Linked DNA regions of Saccharomyces cerevisiae S288C. The gene in region 1 interacts genetically with each later gene. Each region holds a gene or a part of one and is shown in the gene's direction. Other genes may lie near its edges. The genes, in order: NAM7, PAB1, LYS2 and LDB16.

Region 1 (5,041 bases):
TTTCTCTACCAATTATAATAAGTGTATGAGCTACAACCACTTAGATTAAAGGTAATACACATAAATAGAAAGGTTTGCGTAAAATATTTCAGTTTGAATAATTATCTCCTCAGTGGAATAAAAAACATCAAAGAATAGAAATAGTCGCTGTATTTTGATGATTGCTTCAGAAATTTTTGAAAGAGGTGTACAAGATCCATTTTGTCAAGATTGTGATTATGAAGATGAAACAGACGTACAAAGTTTTTTAGGTTCAAATGATTTGAATGATTTTGTAAATTCCAAATTAGCGTCCTTTAGTTTTCAAAATTCCTCGAAATCAAATAATTCTCACCACAGCAGCAGTACCAATGCCGGTAATACAAGCAGACACATAGGCAATCATACTATTGGCCACCATTTGAGAAAAATCAAGACAGCTCCGCATCACTTGTATGGCTTCGTCCCAGCAAATTCAACGAACAATTCCAATGAACCAATTCGCCCTTCTCCAAGAAGAATAAGAGCAAATAGTAGCACCCTCATTCACCAGTTGTCCAGACAATCCACAAGACAGTCTTCCTTGGGCGACGCGGCGGATTCCTGTTTTGACCACAAATGCATAAAGCCAAGATCCAGGCATTCTTCCTGTTACGGTATACCAACACATCTATACGGCCTTGAAAAATACGTTTCATCCGAGCTAGACTCTCTAGCAGTAGCTAACGACCAGTCAAATGATCTCACTTCCCCATTAACATCTGTTTCAACACCCGCCTCGAATTCCAACTCGTATTTGAATCTGAATTCAAGTTCGGCTGCATATCCGTCGTCTTATCTCTCCAACGAAAAGAATAATCGACTAAAATTGATTTCCCATGGGAAAATATCATCAAATAACGTCCCAGGTCACAGTGGAAACCTTAACCACTATCACAGAGAACGAACGCCATCAAATCTAAGAAGAGAATCCTTTTCGCTTCTTTCCAATGGTTCCTCTTCCTCTCCCTTGCAGACTAGAAACAACTCGTATTCCAACTCTTTGGTGAAATCTCCTTCCAATAGTTCATTGAATACTAGTGTGGCTTCTTCTAACGAAGAATCTAGTCCTCACACTTCTAATTGCCTGGAGGAAAGGAATCCCAGGAGAAAATCATTCATAAAATTGTCACTAGCGAGTTCATTCTCCAATTGAAAACGAAACATATGCATCTGGCGAACTCCGTAATTCGCCTAACTTTTAATGAATTCATGAACGGGAAATAAGAAAAACAAAAAGAAAATATACATAGTTAGTTACTATCCACTCAATAATATTAAACGAGTGAATGCTTTTACTTTTAACTTTAGTTTAATCTTAATTTACATTATTTTAGTATCATCAGTTTCCCTTTGCTTACTTGATTTGGGAGGGACACCTTTATACGCTTTCGTACTAACTGATCAAATGAAAAGCTTACCAGAAACTTACGATGCTATTGTGAAGGAGAAAAAAAAAGCGAAAAGAGGCATCGTTTTAACGCACACTAACAGAAGACTCTATTTCTCTTGTCAGCCAACAAACGTTGAAGATTTCATCAGGAAAGAAGGAAGGGCAGCAAGACCGAATATACTTTTTATATTACATCAATCATTGTCATTATCAAATGGTCGGTTCCGGTTCTCACACTCCTTATGATATATCAAACTCTCCATCTGATGTAAATGTCCAACCCGCAACACAACTAAATTCCACCTTGGTGGAGGATGACGATGTAGATAATCAGCTATTTGAAGAGGCTCAAGTCACTGAGACTGGATTCCGTTCGCCTTCAGCTTCAGACAATTCATGTGCGTATTGTGGTATAGATTCTGCAAAGTGTGTCATCAAATGTAATTCATGTAAGAAATGGTTTTGTAACACTAAAAACGGTACAAGCAGCTCCCACATTGTTAATCACTTAGTTTTATCCCACCATAACGTAGTTTCTTTACATCCAGATTCTGACTTAGGGGATACCGTTTTGGAATGTTATAACTGTGGACGTAAGAACGTGTTTTTATTGGGATTTGTTTCCGCTAAAAGTGAGGCCGTGGTTGTTTTACTTTGTAGAATACCTTGTGCCCAGACGAAAAATGCGAACTGGGATACTGATCAATGGCAACCATTAATTGAAGACAGACAACTTTTATCATGGGTCGCAGAGCAACCAACTGAAGAAGAAAAATTGAAAGCTCGTTTAATCACTCCTAGCCAAATTTCCAAGTTGGAGGCAAAATGGAGATCCAATAAAGACGCTACAATTAATGATATTGACGCCCCAGAGGAACAGGAAGCAATCCCACCTTTACTATTGAGATATCAAGACGCCTACGAATACCAAAGATCTTACGGGCCTTTAATCAAATTGGAGGCCGACTATGATAAACAACTCAAGGAATCTCAAGCTTTAGAACATATTTCTGTTTCATGGTCCTTAGCTTTAAATAATAGGCATTTAGCATCTTTCACTTTATCTACTTTCGAATCTAACGAGTTGAAAGTTGCCATCGGTGATGAAATGATACTATGGTACTCTGGCATGCAACATCCTGATTGGGAAGGTCGTGGTTACATTGTTCGGTTACCAAATAGCTTCCAGGACACATTCACATTAGAGTTAAAACCAAGTAAAACGCCACCTCCAACACATTTGACCACTGGTTTTACTGCTGAGTTCATCTGGAAAGGTACCTCTTATGACAGGATGCAAGACGCATTGAAAAAATTTGCCATTGATAAAAAATCTATTTCAGGTTATTTGTACTATAAAATTTTAGGCCATCAAGTGGTTGACATTTCATTTGATGTCCCATTACCTAAGGAGTTTTCAATTCCGAATTTTGCACAATTAAACTCATCCCAGTCGAACGCTGTTAGTCATGTATTACAACGTCCGTTATCTTTAATTCAAGGCCCACCAGGCACTGGTAAAACAGTTACTTCAGCAACGATTGTGTATCACCTTTCCAAAATACACAAGGATAGAATATTGGTGTGTGCCCCATCAAACGTTGCTGTAGATCATTTGGCTGCCAAATTACGTGACTTGGGTTTAAAAGTTGTTAGACTTACCGCGAAAAGTAGAGAAGATGTGGAGAGTTCCGTCTCCAACTTAGCATTGCATAATTTGGTTGGCCGTGGTGCTAAAGGGGAATTAAAAAACCTATTAAAGTTAAAGGATGAAGTTGGCGAATTATCTGCTTCTGATACAAAACGGTTTGTTAAATTAGTAAGGAAAACAGAAGCAGAAATTCTCAATAAGGCAGATGTCGTATGTTGCACATGTGTTGGTGCTGGTGATAAGCGCTTAGACACTAAATTTAGGACTGTGTTAATTGATGAAAGTACTCAAGCTTCTGAGCCGGAATGTTTAATCCCAATCGTTAAAGGTGCGAAACAAGTTATACTTGTTGGTGATCACCAGCAACTGGGCCCAGTCATATTGGAACGAAAGGCGGCAGACGCTGGTTTGAAACAATCTCTCTTTGAAAGATTAATCTCTCTAGGCCACGTACCGATTCGTTTGGAAGTTCAATACCGTATGAATCCTTATTTGAGTGAGTTTCCAAGTAACATGTTTTATGAAGGCAGCCTACAAAATGGTGTAACGATTGAACAGCGTACCGTTCCCAACAGCAAATTCCCATGGCCAATTCGCGGTATACCAATGATGTTTTGGGCCAATTACGGTAGAGAGGAGATTTCTGCTAACGGTACTTCCTTCTTAAACAGAATTGAAGCCATGAATTGTGAACGAATCATCACTAAACTTTTCAGAGACGGTGTCAAGCCCGAGCAAATTGGTGTTATCACACCATATGAGGGACAAAGAGCTTATATTTTACAATATATGCAAATGAATGGTTCATTGGATAAGGATTTGTATATCAAAGTGGAAGTTGCCTCAGTTGATGCATTCCAAGGTCGTGAAAAGGATTACATAATCTTATCGTGTGTTCGTGCCAATGAACAACAGGCCATTGGTTTCTTACGTGATCCTCGTCGTCTAAACGTGGGTCTAACCCGTGCCAAATATGGTCTAGTTATTCTTGGTAATCCTAGATCTTTGGCAAGAAACACATTATGGAACCATCTGTTAATCCACTTCAGAGAGAAGGGTTGTTTAGTCGAAGGTACGTTGGATAACTTACAGTTATGCACTGTTCAATTAGTTCGTCCTCAGCCAAGAAAGACTGAACGGCCAATGAACGCTCAATTTAACGTAGAATCTGAAATGGGTGACTTTCCGAAGTTCCAGGATTTTGATGCACAGAGTATGGTGTCATTCAGTGGTCAAATTGGGGACTTTGGTAATGCATTTGTTGACAACACAGAACTTTCTTCTTACATCAATAATGAATATTGGAATTTTGAGAATTTTAAAAGTGCTTTTTCTCAAAAGCAAAATCGCAATGAAATTGACGATAGAAATTTGTACCAGGAGGAGGCTTCTCATTTGAACTCTAACTTCGCGAGAGAGTTACAGAGAGAAGAACAAAAGCATGAATTGTCAAAAGACTTCAGCAATTTGGGAATATAATTCGGTGAACCCTGTTAAAATAAAATGTTAAACTTGGCTTGTGATACAAAACGGCTCAACCGTGAAATGAGCGCTGCAAAATTATTCGAGATAGACTCGCAATTTGCACAATTGTAACCTGAAAAACTTTTTTTACTTTTCCGGAGGTGCATCTATCATTACAGTATGTGATAAAGGGGCATGGACTTGATATCCTAGCCTACTAATCTCTTTGCTAAAACATGTTGCAACCAAATAGGGCTACCATTGTACTTCTAATGAATACTCTTTACGGCGCACTGCAATGCGTAATAAAGTTTTATTGTAGCGAGGTTTCATTTTTGCTTATGTTCTTTTTATTGTTTAATACGTGCATATGTATTCTATAAGATAAATGTATATAACTGCCAACAAAATAAACTAAAATCAAGGTATGGCTGTAGAAAATGATACCACAGATAATAAAATAATAAATAATCTAATAGCTGAGTGGAAGAAAAAAAAAAAATAAAAAAAGAGTA
Region 2 (3,918 bases), on another chromosome or scaffold:
GTGTTAAATCTTTAAACGCCGAATCTTTACTAAGTAGAGTGGAGGATTTAAAGTACTTGAAGAACTTGATAAATTCAAACTACAAAGATGATCCATTAAAGTTTAGCCTAGGCAACAACACACCTAAGCCTGTACAGAATTGGTCATCTAATTGGACGAAAGAGGAAGATGAGAAGCTATTGATTGGTGTTTTCAAATATGGATATGGTTCCTGGACACAAATAAGAGACGATCCATTTCTAGGCATTACTGATAAAATATTCTTGAATGAAGTTCACAATCCGGTAGCAAAAAAGTCGGCAAGCTCCTCTGATACAACACCAACACCCTCAAAGAAAGGAAAGGGAATAACGGGTTCTTCAAAAAAAGTACCTGGTGCCATTCACTTGGGCAGAAGAGTTGATTATCTATTATCCTTCTTAAGAGGAGGCCTAAATACAAAGAGTCCCAGTGCTGACATAGGCTCGAAAAAACTCCCTACTGGTCCTTCCAAAAAGAGACAAAGAAAACCTGCTAATCACAGCAAATCCATGACTCCAGAAATTACAAGTTCTGAGCCTGCAAATGGCCCGCCAAGCAAACGTATGAAAGCCCTCCCAAAAGGTCCTGCCGCCTTAATAAATAACACGAGATTGTCTCCAAACAGCCCCACGCCCCCATTAAAGTCCAAGGTTTCCAGAGATAATGGTACAAGGCAATCAAGCAACCCCAGTAGCGGCAGCGCTCACGAAAAAGAATATGACAGCATGGATGAAGAAGACTGTCGACACACAATGAGTGCAATACGTACTTCTTTGAAGCGACTTAGAAGAGGCGGCAAAAGTCTTGATCGTAAGGAATGGGCCAAAATTTTGAAGACCGAATTAACTACGATTGGTAATCATATCGAATCGCAAAAGGGCTCATCGAGAAAGGCAAGCCCAGAAAAATATCGCAAGCACCTTTGGTCTTACAGTGCCAACTTTTGGCCTGCCGACGTTAAGAGTACAAAGCTGATGGCAATGTACGACAAGATAACAGAGTCTCAAAAGAAGTGAAACAATTTTTCTTCACCACATTTTCCATTGTTCCTTCCCCCCATAACTATAAACGTATTTATGTATATATATTTGCGTGTAAGTGTGTGTACTATAGGGCACCGTAAAGTAATAATGCTTAATTAGTTACTACTATGACCATATAAGAGGTCATACTGTATGAAGCCACAAAGCAGATAGATCAATCATGTTTAACGAAAACTGTTAATCGAAGATTATTTCTTTTTTTTTTTCTCTTTCCTTTTTACAAAGAAAATTTTTTTTGCGCTTTTTGCCATCACCATCGCAAGTTCTGGGACAATTGTTCTCTTTCGCTCCAGTTCCAAGGAAAGAGGTTTCTGTTTTACTTAATAGAAAGTGTCATCTTGTATTTTATATCTCTTCTTTCTTGTGTAAAATTCTTTAGTTTTGATTTTGTATTTTTAGGACAGTGAGCTACGAAGTAACATTTTTACTTAATAACCGTTTGAAGCATAGAGCAGGCCCTGGTACCACCACCTAATATCTGGCTTTTTATTCAATAAAAACTCAAAAAAAAAAATCCAAAAAAAACTAAAAAACCAATAAAAATAAAATGGCTGATATTACTGATAAGACAGCTGAACAATTGGAAAACTTGAATATTCAAGATGACCAAAAGCAAGCCGCCACTGGTTCAGAAAGCCAATCTGTTGAAAACTCTTCTGCATCATTATATGTTGGTGACTTAGAACCTTCTGTTTCCGAAGCCCACTTATATGATATCTTCTCTCCAATCGGTTCAGTCTCCTCCATTCGTGTCTGTCGTGATGCCATCACTAAGACCTCTTTGGGCTATGCTTATGTTAACTTTAACGACCATGAAGCCGGCAGAAAAGCAATTGAGCAATTGAACTACACTCCAATCAAGGGTAGATTATGCCGTATTATGTGGTCTCAACGTGACCCATCATTGAGAAAGAAGGGTTCTGGTAACATCTTTATCAAGAACTTGCACCCTGATATTGACAACAAGGCTTTGTATGACACTTTCTCTGTGTTTGGTGACATCTTGTCCAGCAAGATTGCCACCGACGAAAACGGAAAATCCAAGGGTTTTGGGTTTGTTCACTTCGAAGAAGAAGGTGCTGCCAAGGAAGCTATTGATGCTTTGAATGGTATGCTGTTGAACGGTCAAGAAATTTATGTTGCTCCTCACTTGTCCAGAAAGGAACGTGACTCTCAATTGGAAGAGACTAAGGCACATTACACTAACCTTTATGTGAAAAACATCAACTCCGAAACTACTGACGAACAATTCCAAGAATTGTTTGCCAAATTTGGTCCAATTGTTTCTGCCTCTTTGGAAAAGGATGCTGATGGAAAATTGAAGGGTTTCGGGTTTGTTAACTACGAAAAGCATGAAGACGCTGTGAAAGCTGTTGAAGCTTTGAATGACTCTGAACTAAATGGAGAAAAGTTATACGTTGGTCGTGCCCAAAAGAAGAATGAACGTATGCATGTCTTGAAGAAGCAATACGAAGCTTACAGATTGGAAAAAATGGCCAAGTACCAAGGTGTTAATTTGTTTGTTAAGAACTTAGATGACAGCGTTGATGACGAAAAGTTGGAAGAAGAATTTGCTCCATATGGTACTATCACTTCTGCAAAGGTTATGAGAACCGAAAACGGTAAGTCTAAGGGTTTTGGTTTTGTTTGTTTCTCAACTCCAGAGGAAGCTACTAAGGCCATTACAGAAAAGAACCAACAAATTGTTGCTGGTAAGCCATTATACGTTGCCATTGCTCAAAGAAAAGACGTAAGACGTTCTCAATTGGCTCAACAAATCCAAGCCAGAAATCAAATGAGATACCAGCAAGCTACTGCTGCCGCTGCCGCCGCCGCTGCCGGTATGCCAGGTCAATTCATGCCTCCAATGTTCTATGGTGTTATGCCACCAAGAGGTGTTCCATTCAACGGTCCAAACCCACAACAAATGAACCCAATGGGCGGTATGCCAAAGAACGGCATGCCACCTCAATTTAGAAATGGTCCGGTTTACGGCGTCCCCCCACAAGGTGGTTTCCCAAGAAATGCCAACGATAACAACCAATTTTATCAACAAAAGCAAAGACAAGCTTTGGGTGAACAATTATACAAGAAGGTTTCTGCTAAGACTTCAAATGAAGAAGCAGCTGGTAAAATTACTGGTATGATTTTGGATTTGCCACCTCAAGAGGTCTTCCCATTGTTGGAAAGTGATGAATTGTTCGAACAACACTACAAAGAAGCTTCTGCTGCCTATGAGTCTTTCAAAAAGGAGCAAGAACAACAAACTGAGCAAGCTTAATGCTCTATGTAATCACCTACTTCCCTACTCAACAAACTTATCATCTTTTTTTTCTCCCTTCCCTTTTTTTTTTGTCTTAAATACTAGTTATTATCCTTTGTAACCTAAATACTCGCTCTTATTGACAAAATGCAAACGTTTTTTGTTTTTAACTGTCAAGAGAAGTATCATTTTACTATTATTAGACTTCATTACTGAGTTTATTAGTTGCGTTTTTTTGAGGTCTCATTATTAACGGCAGAATGTTAGTTTTCGCGGAAAATAAACAAAATAGCACGGAAAAAAGACCAACAGGTTCCAGGAAAATACTAATTTACAAAAAATTGACAAATCAAGTGAGGGTACCTTGCTATTCATCACCGCATTCAACTAACTGGAGGTACAAAGCTGATAAAATTTCACAGAGCAAAGTCTCACTTAGCTTTTACTTTATGAAATTTGACCTTTAATAACCGAAGGTCATCGTAATACGCAACTCAGACAGTTTTAAGTGGATTTTTAGGGTCGCAATTAAAAACACTCAAAAATTAACCGGAGGTTGAGCAAGGGAAAGCAACCGTAACAGAAATCCTT
Region 3 (6,551 bases), on another chromosome or scaffold:
AGCCAACCATAATCAAGGTAACTACTACAATTGGATTTGGGTCCCTACAACAGGGTACTGCTGGTGTTCATGGGTCCGCTTTGAAGGCAGATGATGTTAAACAGTTGAAGAAGAGGTGGGGGTTTGACCCAAATAAATCATTTGTAGTACCTCAAGAGGTGTACGATTATTATAAGAAGACTGTTGTGGAACCCGGTCAAAAACTTAATGAGGAATGGGATAGGATGTTTGAAGAATACAAAACCAAATTTCCCGAGAAGGGTAAAGAATTGCAAAGAAGATTGAATGGTGAGTTACCGGAAGGTTGGGAAAAGCATTTACCGAAGTTTACTCCGGACGACGATGCTCTGGCAACAAGAAAGACATCCCAGCAGGTGCTGACGAACATGGTCCAAGTTTTGCCTGAATTGATCGGTGGTTCTGCCGATTTGACACCTTCGAATCTGACAAGGTGGGAAGGCGCGGTAGATTTCCAACCTCCCATTACCCAACTAGGTAACTATGCAGGAAGGTACATTAGATACGGTGTGAGGGAACACGGAATGGGTGCCATTATGAACGGTATCTCTGCCTTTGGTGCAAACTACAAGCCTTACGGTGGTACCTTTTTGAACTTCGTCTCTTATGCTGCAGGAGCCGTTAGGTTAGCCGCCTTGTCTGGTAATCCAGTCATTTGGGTTGCAACACATGACTCTATCGGGCTTGGTGAGGATGGTCCAACGCACCAACCTATTGAAACTCTGGCTCACTTGAGGGCTATTCCAAACATGCATGTATGGAGACCTGCTGATGGTAACGAAACTTCTGCTGCGTATTATTCTGCTATCAAATCTGGTCGAACACCATCTGTTGTGGCTTTATCACGACAGAATCTTCCTCAATTGGAGCATTCCTCTTTTGAAAAAGCCTTGAAGGGTGGCTATGTGATCCATGACGTGGAGAATCCTGATATTATCCTGGTGTCAACAGGATCAGAAGTCTCCATTTCTATAGATGCAGCCAAAAAATTGTACGATACTAAAAAAATCAAAGCAAGAGTTGTTTCCCTGCCAGACTTTTATACTTTTGACAGGCAAAGTGAAGAATACAGATTCTCTGTTCTACCAGACGGTGTTCCGATCATGTCCTTTGAAGTATTGGCTACTTCAAGCTGGGGTAAGTATGCTCATCAATCGTTCGGACTCGACGAATTTGGTCGTTCAGGCAAGGGGCCTGAAATTTACAAATTGTTCGATTTCACAGCGGACGGTGTTGCGTCAAGGGCTGAAAAGACAATCAATTACTACAAAGGAAAGCAGTTGCTTTCTCCTATGGGAAGAGCTTTCTAAGTCTGAAGAAGTAAACAGTTCTTTGCTATTTCACACTTCCTGGTTGATGGTCACTTGCTGCCTGAAATATATATATATGTATGACATATGTACTTGTTTTCTTTTTTGTGCCTTTGTTACGTCTATATTCATTGAAACTGATTATTCGATTTTCTTCTTGCTGACCGCTTCTAGAGGCATCGCACAGTTTTAGCGAGGAAAACTCTTCAATAGTTTTGCCAGCGGAATTCCACTTGCAATTACATAAAAAATTCCGGCGGTTTTTCGCGTGTGACTCAATGTCGAAATACCTGCCTAATGAACATGAACATCGCCCAAATGTATTTGAAGACCCGCTGGGAGAAGTTCAAGATATATAAGTAACAAGCAGCCAATAGTATAAAAAAAAATCTGAGTTTATTACCTTTCCTGGAATTTCAGTGAAAAACTGCTAATTATAGAGAGATATCACAGAGTTACTCACTAATGACTAACGAAAAGGTCTGGATAGAGAAGTTGGATAATCCAACTCTTTCAGTGTTACCACATGACTTTTTACGCCCACAACAAGAACCTTATACGAAACAAGCTACATATTCGTTACAGCTACCTCAGCTCGATGTGCCTCATGATAGTTTTTCTAACAAATACGCTGTCGCTTTGAGTGTATGGGCTGCATTGATATATAGAGTAACCGGTGACGATGATATTGTTCTTTATATTGCGAATAACAAAATCTTAAGATTCAATATTCAACCAACGTGGTCATTTAATGAGCTGTATTCTACAATTAACAATGAGTTGAACAAGCTCAATTCTATTGAGGCCAATTTTTCCTTTGACGAGCTAGCTGAAAAAATTCAAAGTTGCCAAGATCTGGAAAGGACCCCTCAGTTGTTCCGTTTGGCCTTTTTGGAAAACCAAGATTTCAAATTAGACGAGTTCAAGCATCATTTAGTGGACTTTGCTTTGAATTTGGATACCAGTAATAATGCGCATGTTTTGAACTTAATTTATAACAGCTTACTGTATTCGAATGAAAGAGTAACCATTGTTGCGGACCAATTTACTCAATATTTGACTGCTGCGCTAAGCGATCCATCCAATTGCATAACTAAAATCTCTCTGATCACCGCATCATCCAAGGATAGTTTACCTGATCCAACTAAGAACTTGGGCTGGTGCGATTTCGTGGGGTGTATTCACGACATTTTCCAGGACAATGCTGAAGCCTTCCCAGAGAGAACCTGTGTTGTGGAGACTCCAACACTAAATTCCGACAAGTCCCGTTCTTTCACTTATCGCGACATCAACCGCACTTCTAACATAGTTGCCCATTATTTGATTAAAACAGGTATCAAAAGAGGTGATGTAGTGATGATCTATTCTTCTAGGGGTGTGGATTTGATGGTATGTGTGATGGGTGTCTTGAAAGCCGGCGCAACCTTTTCAGTTATCGACCCTGCATATCCCCCAGCCAGACAAACCATTTACTTAGGTGTTGCTAAACCACGTGGGTTGATTGTTATTAGAGCTGCTGGACAATTGGATCAACTAGTAGAAGATTACATCAATGATGAATTGGAGATTGTTTCAAGAATCAATTCCATCGCTATTCAAGAAAATGGTACCATTGAAGGTGGCAAATTGGACAATGGCGAGGATGTTTTGGCTCCATATGATCACTACAAAGACACCAGAACAGGTGTTGTAGTTGGACCAGATTCCAACCCAACCCTATCTTTCACATCTGGTTCCGAAGGTATTCCTAAGGGTGTTCTTGGTAGACATTTTTCCTTGGCTTATTATTTCAATTGGATGTCCAAAAGGTTCAACTTAACAGAAAATGATAAATTCACAATGCTGAGCGGTATTGCACATGATCCAATTCAAAGAGATATGTTTACACCATTATTTTTAGGTGCCCAATTGTATGTCCCTACTCAAGATGATATTGGTACACCGGGCCGTTTAGCGGAATGGATGAGTAAGTATGGTTGCACAGTTACCCATTTAACACCTGCCATGGGTCAATTACTTACTGCCCAAGCTACTACACCATTCCCTAAGTTACATCATGCGTTCTTTGTGGGTGACATTTTAACAAAACGTGATTGTCTGAGGTTACAAACCTTGGCAGAAAATTGCCGTATTGTTAATATGTACGGTACCACTGAAACACAGCGTGCAGTTTCTTATTTCGAAGTTAAATCAAAAAATGACGATCCAAACTTTTTGAAAAAATTGAAAGATGTCATGCCTGCTGGTAAAGGTATGTTGAACGTTCAGCTACTAGTTGTTAACAGGAACGATCGTACTCAAATATGTGGTATTGGCGAAATAGGTGAGATTTATGTTCGTGCAGGTGGTTTGGCCGAAGGTTATAGAGGATTACCAGAATTGAATAAAGAAAAATTTGTGAACAACTGGTTTGTTGAAAAAGATCACTGGAATTATTTGGATAAGGATAATGGTGAACCTTGGAGACAATTCTGGTTAGGTCCAAGAGATAGATTGTACAGAACGGGTGATTTAGGTCGTTATCTACCAAACGGTGACTGTGAATGTTGCGGTAGGGCTGATGATCAAGTTAAAATTCGTGGGTTCAGAATCGAATTAGGAGAAATAGATACGCACATTTCCCAACATCCATTGGTAAGAGAAAACATTACTTTAGTTCGCAAAAATGCCGACAATGAGCCAACATTGATCACATTTATGGTCCCAAGATTTGACAAGCCAGATGACTTGTCTAAGTTCCAAAGTGATGTTCCAAAGGAGGTTGAAACTGACCCTATAGTTAAGGGCTTAATCGGTTACCATCTTTTATCCAAGGACATCAGGACTTTCTTAAAGAAAAGATTGGCTAGCTATGCTATGCCTTCCTTGATTGTGGTTATGGATAAACTACCATTGAATCCAAATGGTAAAGTTGATAAGCCTAAACTTCAATTCCCAACTCCCAAGCAATTAAATTTGGTAGCTGAAAATACAGTTTCTGAAACTGACGACTCTCAGTTTACCAATGTTGAGCGCGAGGTTAGAGACTTATGGTTAAGTATATTACCTACCAAGCCAGCATCTGTATCACCAGATGATTCGTTTTTCGATTTAGGTGGTCATTCTATCTTGGCTACCAAAATGATTTTTACCTTAAAGAAAAAGCTGCAAGTTGATTTACCATTGGGCACAATTTTCAAGTATCCAACGATAAAGGCCTTTGCCGCGGAAATTGACAGAATTAAATCATCGGGTGGATCATCTCAAGGTGAGGTCGTCGAAAATGTCACTGCAAATTATGCGGAAGACGCCAAGAAATTGGTTGAGACGCTACCAAGTTCGTACCCCTCTCGAGAATATTTTGTTGAACCTAATAGTGCCGAAGGAAAAACAACAATTAATGTGTTTGTTACCGGTGTCACAGGATTTCTGGGCTCCTACATCCTTGCAGATTTGTTAGGACGTTCTCCAAAGAACTACAGTTTCAAAGTGTTTGCCCACGTCAGGGCCAAGGATGAAGAAGCTGCATTTGCAAGATTACAAAAGGCAGGTATCACCTATGGTACTTGGAACGAAAAATTTGCCTCAAATATTAAAGTTGTATTAGGCGATTTATCTAAAAGCCAATTTGGTCTTTCAGATGAGAAGTGGATGGATTTGGCAAACACAGTTGATATAATTATCCATAATGGTGCGTTAGTTCACTGGGTTTATCCATATGCCAAATTGAGGGATCCAAATGTTATTTCAACTATCAATGTTATGAGCTTAGCCGCCGTCGGCAAGCCAAAGTTCTTTGACTTTGTTTCCTCCACTTCTACTCTTGACACTGAATACTACTTTAATTTGTCAGATAAACTTGTTAGCGAAGGGAAGCCAGGCATTTTAGAATCAGACGATTTAATGAACTCTGCAAGCGGGCTCACTGGTGGATATGGTCAGTCCAAATGGGCTGCTGAGTACATCATTAGACGTGCAGGTGAAAGGGGCCTACGTGGGTGTATTGTCAGACCAGGTTACGTAACAGGTGCCTCTGCCAATGGTTCTTCAAACACAGATGATTTCTTATTGAGATTTTTGAAAGGTTCAGTCCAATTAGGTAAGATTCCAGATATCGAAAATTCCGTGAATATGGTTCCAGTAGATCATGTTGCTCGTGTTGTTGTTGCTACGTCTTTGAATCCTCCCAAAGAAAATGAATTGGCCGTTGCTCAAGTAACGGGTCACCCAAGAATATTATTCAAAGACTACTTGTATACTTTACACGATTATGGTTACGATGTCGAAATCGAAAGCTATTCTAAATGGAAGAAATCATTGGAGGCGTCTGTTATTGACAGGAATGAAGAAAATGCGTTGTATCCTTTGCTACACATGGTCTTAGACAACTTACCTGAAAGTACCAAAGCTCCGGAACTAGACGATAGGAACGCCGTGGCATCTTTAAAGAAAGACACCGCATGGACAGGTGTTGATTGGTCTAATGGAATAGGTGTTACTCCAGAAGAGGTTGGTATATATATTGCATTTTTAAACAAGGTTGGATTTTTACCTCCACCAACTCATAATGACAAACTTCCACTGCCAAGTATAGAACTAACTCAAGCGCAAATAAGTCTAGTTGCTTCAGGTGCTGGTGCTCGTGGAAGCTCCGCAGCAGCTTAAGGTTGAGCATTACGTATGATATGTCCATGTACAATAATTAAATATGAATTAGGAGAAAGACTTAGCTTCTTTTCGGGTGATGTCACTTAAAAACTCCGAGAATAATATATAATAAGAGAATAAAATATTAGTTATTGAATAAGAACTGTAAATCAGCTGGCGTTAGTCTGCTAATGGCAGCTTCATCTTGGTTTATTGTAGCATGAATCATATTTGCCTTTTTTTCCTGTAATTCAATGATTCTTGCTTCTATACTATCCTCAATGCAAAACCTTGTGATCTTCACAGGTCGATACTGACCAATTCTATGAACTCTATCACCACTTTGCCATTCAACACTAGGGTTCCACCATGGGTCTAAAATGAATACTTGCGAAGCTTCACAAAGATTCAAAGCAACACCGCCCGCCTTTAAACTGACCAAGAAAACCTCGCATTGAATGTTGTTCATGAAATACTTGATGGTTTCATCTCTTTGCGTCGGTGACATACTACCCTGAAGCTTCACTGTTTGAAATCCAGCTCTTTTCAATCTCCACTCTACCAGATCCAGCATACTGGTAAACTGGGAAAACACAA
Region 4 (2,863 bases), on another chromosome or scaffold:
TGGGCAAGGAACTACTGATGGTGTTCATGTCGAAATTTTCCAAGTTTATACTTATAAAGGGAGGTTTTACCGGGTACATACTGGGTACCCACATGATCACAGGAATACTGTGAGGAGATGAACCATCCTCACCAGTACTAATGGTACCATATATGGACAACAGTAGTTGTGGAGTGCCGTCAGAGTGCGTAAATACCCTTGTTCTTGGCCTTAAACTGTGAAAATTGTCCAGCAGCGCTAAAGAATCGTGGAAAGTTGTTCTTCCGTCGTTATAAATGGGTTGAATGACTTTGAACAGCCAATTGACCACCGCCTCGGGAACAGAGATCTTGCCGTTTGCAGACATCGTTGCTCTTCACTCTCTCTCTTTTCTTGGCCGTTAAGATACCAACTGCCCACAAAATTTTGCCGTAACTTTTTATTCTCGCTCTGTGAAAAAAGACTACTACATTTTTTGACCTTTTATCTATACTTTAAGAAACAAAGGTCCAACGAATAATAAAGAACAAAGAGTAATGAGTAGTTTGTATGTGTCATAATCTCTTCTCTCCGCTTCCCTTTTCTTCCTTCTTCTTCTACTAACTCTCTGCGCGTCCAATTTAGCTATACTGTTGTTGGTGTATTCATAGTGGTTAGTGCCATGTCCGTGCTGTTCTGGATAATGGCTCCAAAGAACAACCAAGCGTATGTGCAACATTTTTTTTACGATGTGTCTCCATATTACTAGTTTCCCTTTCTTTTTTACTAACAAGAGTTTGTTTGTTTTGTTTTGTCGTACAGTGTTTGGAGAAGTACAGTGATTTTGACATTGGCCATGATGTTTTTGATGTGGGCCATTACGTTCCTTTGCCAGCTCCATCCCTTGGTGGCTCCACGCCGTTCAGATTTGAGACCTGAATTTGCAGAATAAAGCGTCGAGTATATCAAGCCAAGTGACGTTTCCTGAGTATAAGAAAAATAAGCAAAATAAGTATACATAAAAATAAATACGAATAGAAATATAGTGGCATCTAAACAACCCAGAGATTTTTTGAAAAACACAATGAGTATATACTGATAGACAACCACACGGTCTTTGAAACGAGACGCCGTCTACGGTTGTATCAAAATGTGTAAACGGGCCATTTCAAAGCTTGATCTTCTCCATAATTAGAACCCATGTCCCGTGGAAGCGTTTTAAAAGACATGAGGCAGAAACAGGAGTGTGATATCCTTGCATGCGCAAGTTGGTAATACACTGCACAAAACACGCGTGTGCACATACACTTATGTGGTTCACCGTGCCGCTGCTGTGTTTATCTGTTGCTCGACATGTGCTGCTAATGATTATGTTGGAATAGACAAACAATTTAAAGTAATTTCTTCTTTTTTTATAGTGAGAAATCTCAAAAGAAAAAAAAAAAAATAAAAAAAACTAAAGAGCTGCCGGGTGAGCAACGACTAAAAGAAGAAACCATTTAGGGCTTCATCAGCAACTGTAGGAGGAGAAAGCAGGTATATAACTAGCCGCAATATGTTTGTGGTGGATTGGAGCGTGCAGCTATGCATGGGAGTGATTTCACCTCTCTTCCGTGCCCTCGTGCAACTGCCTTTATCAATTTTCGTATGGAATGGGTTTCAGCTTGTGGCATTGCCTATCAACATCCCATTGAGGTTGTTCCTGGGGACGTCGCTGAGCCGTTTAGTTGCACAAACAAGCACATTAGACTTCTATGTGGTTTTGACGTTGTTTCAATATTTTGCTGTGCTTTGTGCTTTTGGCAGCATCATAGGACTCATCTTTGGATTTATATTGGGTGTGTTCCACTCAATCTGCGGGGTACCCAGTGTATACATAAGTCTAGAATGGAAACGGTGGTTTGCTCCGATACGTACGGTCCTTGAACGTGCTTCCACTAGTATTGTCAACATTATGCGAGGACAAACTATTGCGCCAATACCCATGCCTAAGCCCAATCCCACGCATATATCAAAGCCTAACATGAAAAAATTCCATGATGAGCCTGGAGCTGATGATATGACTATAACGCATGATGTGAACTGCTACATCACCCCTTGCCAAACGCCTACTAACGAAAAAATTCAGCATTATAATAATGATTCATTCAACACGACCACCACAGACGATGAACCCACTGATATTTGGGATAGGTCTGACACTTACCAAAACTCATTCGTCACCAATGAAACTTTGATGTCTCTTTCTAATAGAGCTAAGCTTCGAAGAAATGCCAGTGATGCGGACATCGTTAATATAAAGATTTTACGAAGGAATTCTAGGTGATATTGCAATTACTTCTTCTCATGCACTAACAAGTGAATGATAGAAATATGTTGAGTTCCTAACTGCCTGATTTTAAATAAGTTTCATATTATAATCTTTTAGCATATATATATATATATTGATCCTCTCTCTTCTTTATTTTCTGCCAGTAACCCATGTGTGAAGAAGAAAACATAAATAAAAAAGCAGTAGCACATGGACACATTCACGCCCGAACACTCCTAAAAAGCAGCCCACACAAGAAAGTAGATATAATGTAGGACACCCAGCTTGTCCATAATTGCTAATAGCATACTCAGGATAACATATATTAATGACGACTCGTTTGCTCCAACTCACTCGTCCTCATTACAGATTATTATCCCTACCTCTCCAGAAACCCTTCAATATAAAAAGGCAGATGTCCGCTGCGAACCCTTCTCCATTTGGCAATTATTTGAACACGATCACTAAGTCCCTACAACAGAATTTACAAACATGCTTTCATTTCCAAGCAAAAGAAATCGATATAATCGAATCTCCATCTCAGTTTTACGATCTCTTGAAGACAAAAATACTTAATTCACAAAATAGAATATT

The links.
Region 2: mutations in NAM7 (region 1) and PAB1 together harm fitness less than expected from each alone (positive genetic interaction), as found in Saccharomyces cerevisiae (2 studies listed by BioGRID).
Region 3: of NAM7 (region 1) and LYS2, a mutation in one rescues a mutant of the other (synthetic rescue), as found in Saccharomyces cerevisiae (one study listed by BioGRID).
Region 4: mutations in NAM7 (region 1) and LDB16 together harm fitness less than expected from each alone (positive genetic interaction), as found in Saccharomyces cerevisiae (one large-scale study listed by BioGRID).

The regions. Positions count from the first base shown.
Region 1 is NC_001145.3:426,212-431,252, reverse strand, and holds NAM7 (ATP-dependent RNA helicase NAM7), read left to right. Parts: upstream 1-1,625; coding exon 1,626-4,541; downstream 4,542-5,041. Other genes in the region: ISF1 (Isf1p), read left to right, coding at 158-1,174. UniProt on the Saccharomyces cerevisiae protein: RNA-dependent helicase required for nonsense-mediated decay (NMD) of aberrant mRNAs containing premature stop codons and modulates the expression level of normal mRNAs. Also capable of unwinding double-stranded DNA and translocating on single-stranded DNA.
Region 2 is NC_001137.3:508,762-512,679, forward strand, and holds PAB1 (polyadenylate-binding protein), read left to right. Parts: upstream 1-1,611; coding exon 1,612-3,345; downstream 3,346-3,918. Other genes in the region: chromatin-remodeling ATPase CHD1, read left to right, coding at 1-1,037. UniProt on the Saccharomyces cerevisiae protein: Binds the poly(A) tail of mRNA. Appears to be an important mediator of the multiple roles of the poly(A) tail in mRNA biogenesis, stability and translation.
Region 3 is NC_001134.8:469,169-475,719, reverse strand, and holds LYS2 (L-aminoadipate-semialdehyde dehydrogenase), read left to right. Parts: upstream 1-1,793; coding exon 1,794-5,972; downstream 5,973-6,551. Other genes in the region: transketolase TKL2, read left to right, coding at 1-1,328; DNA repair protein RAD16, read right to left, coding at 6,100-6,551. UniProt on the Saccharomyces cerevisiae protein: Catalyzes the activation of alpha-aminoadipate by ATP-dependent adenylation and the reduction of activated alpha-aminoadipate by NADPH.
Region 4 is NC_001135.5:106,508-109,370, forward strand, and holds LDB16 (Ldb16p), read left to right. Parts: upstream 1-1,513; coding exon 1,514-2,284; downstream 2,285-2,863. Other genes in the region: ubiquitin-binding ESCRT-I subunit protein STP22, read right to left, coding at 1-346; VMA9 (H(+)-transporting V0 sector ATPase subunit e), read left to right, coding at 516-526, 604-684, 781-910; PGS1 (CDP-diacylglycerol--glycerol-3-phosphate 3-phosphatidyltransferase), read left to right, coding at 2,598-2,863.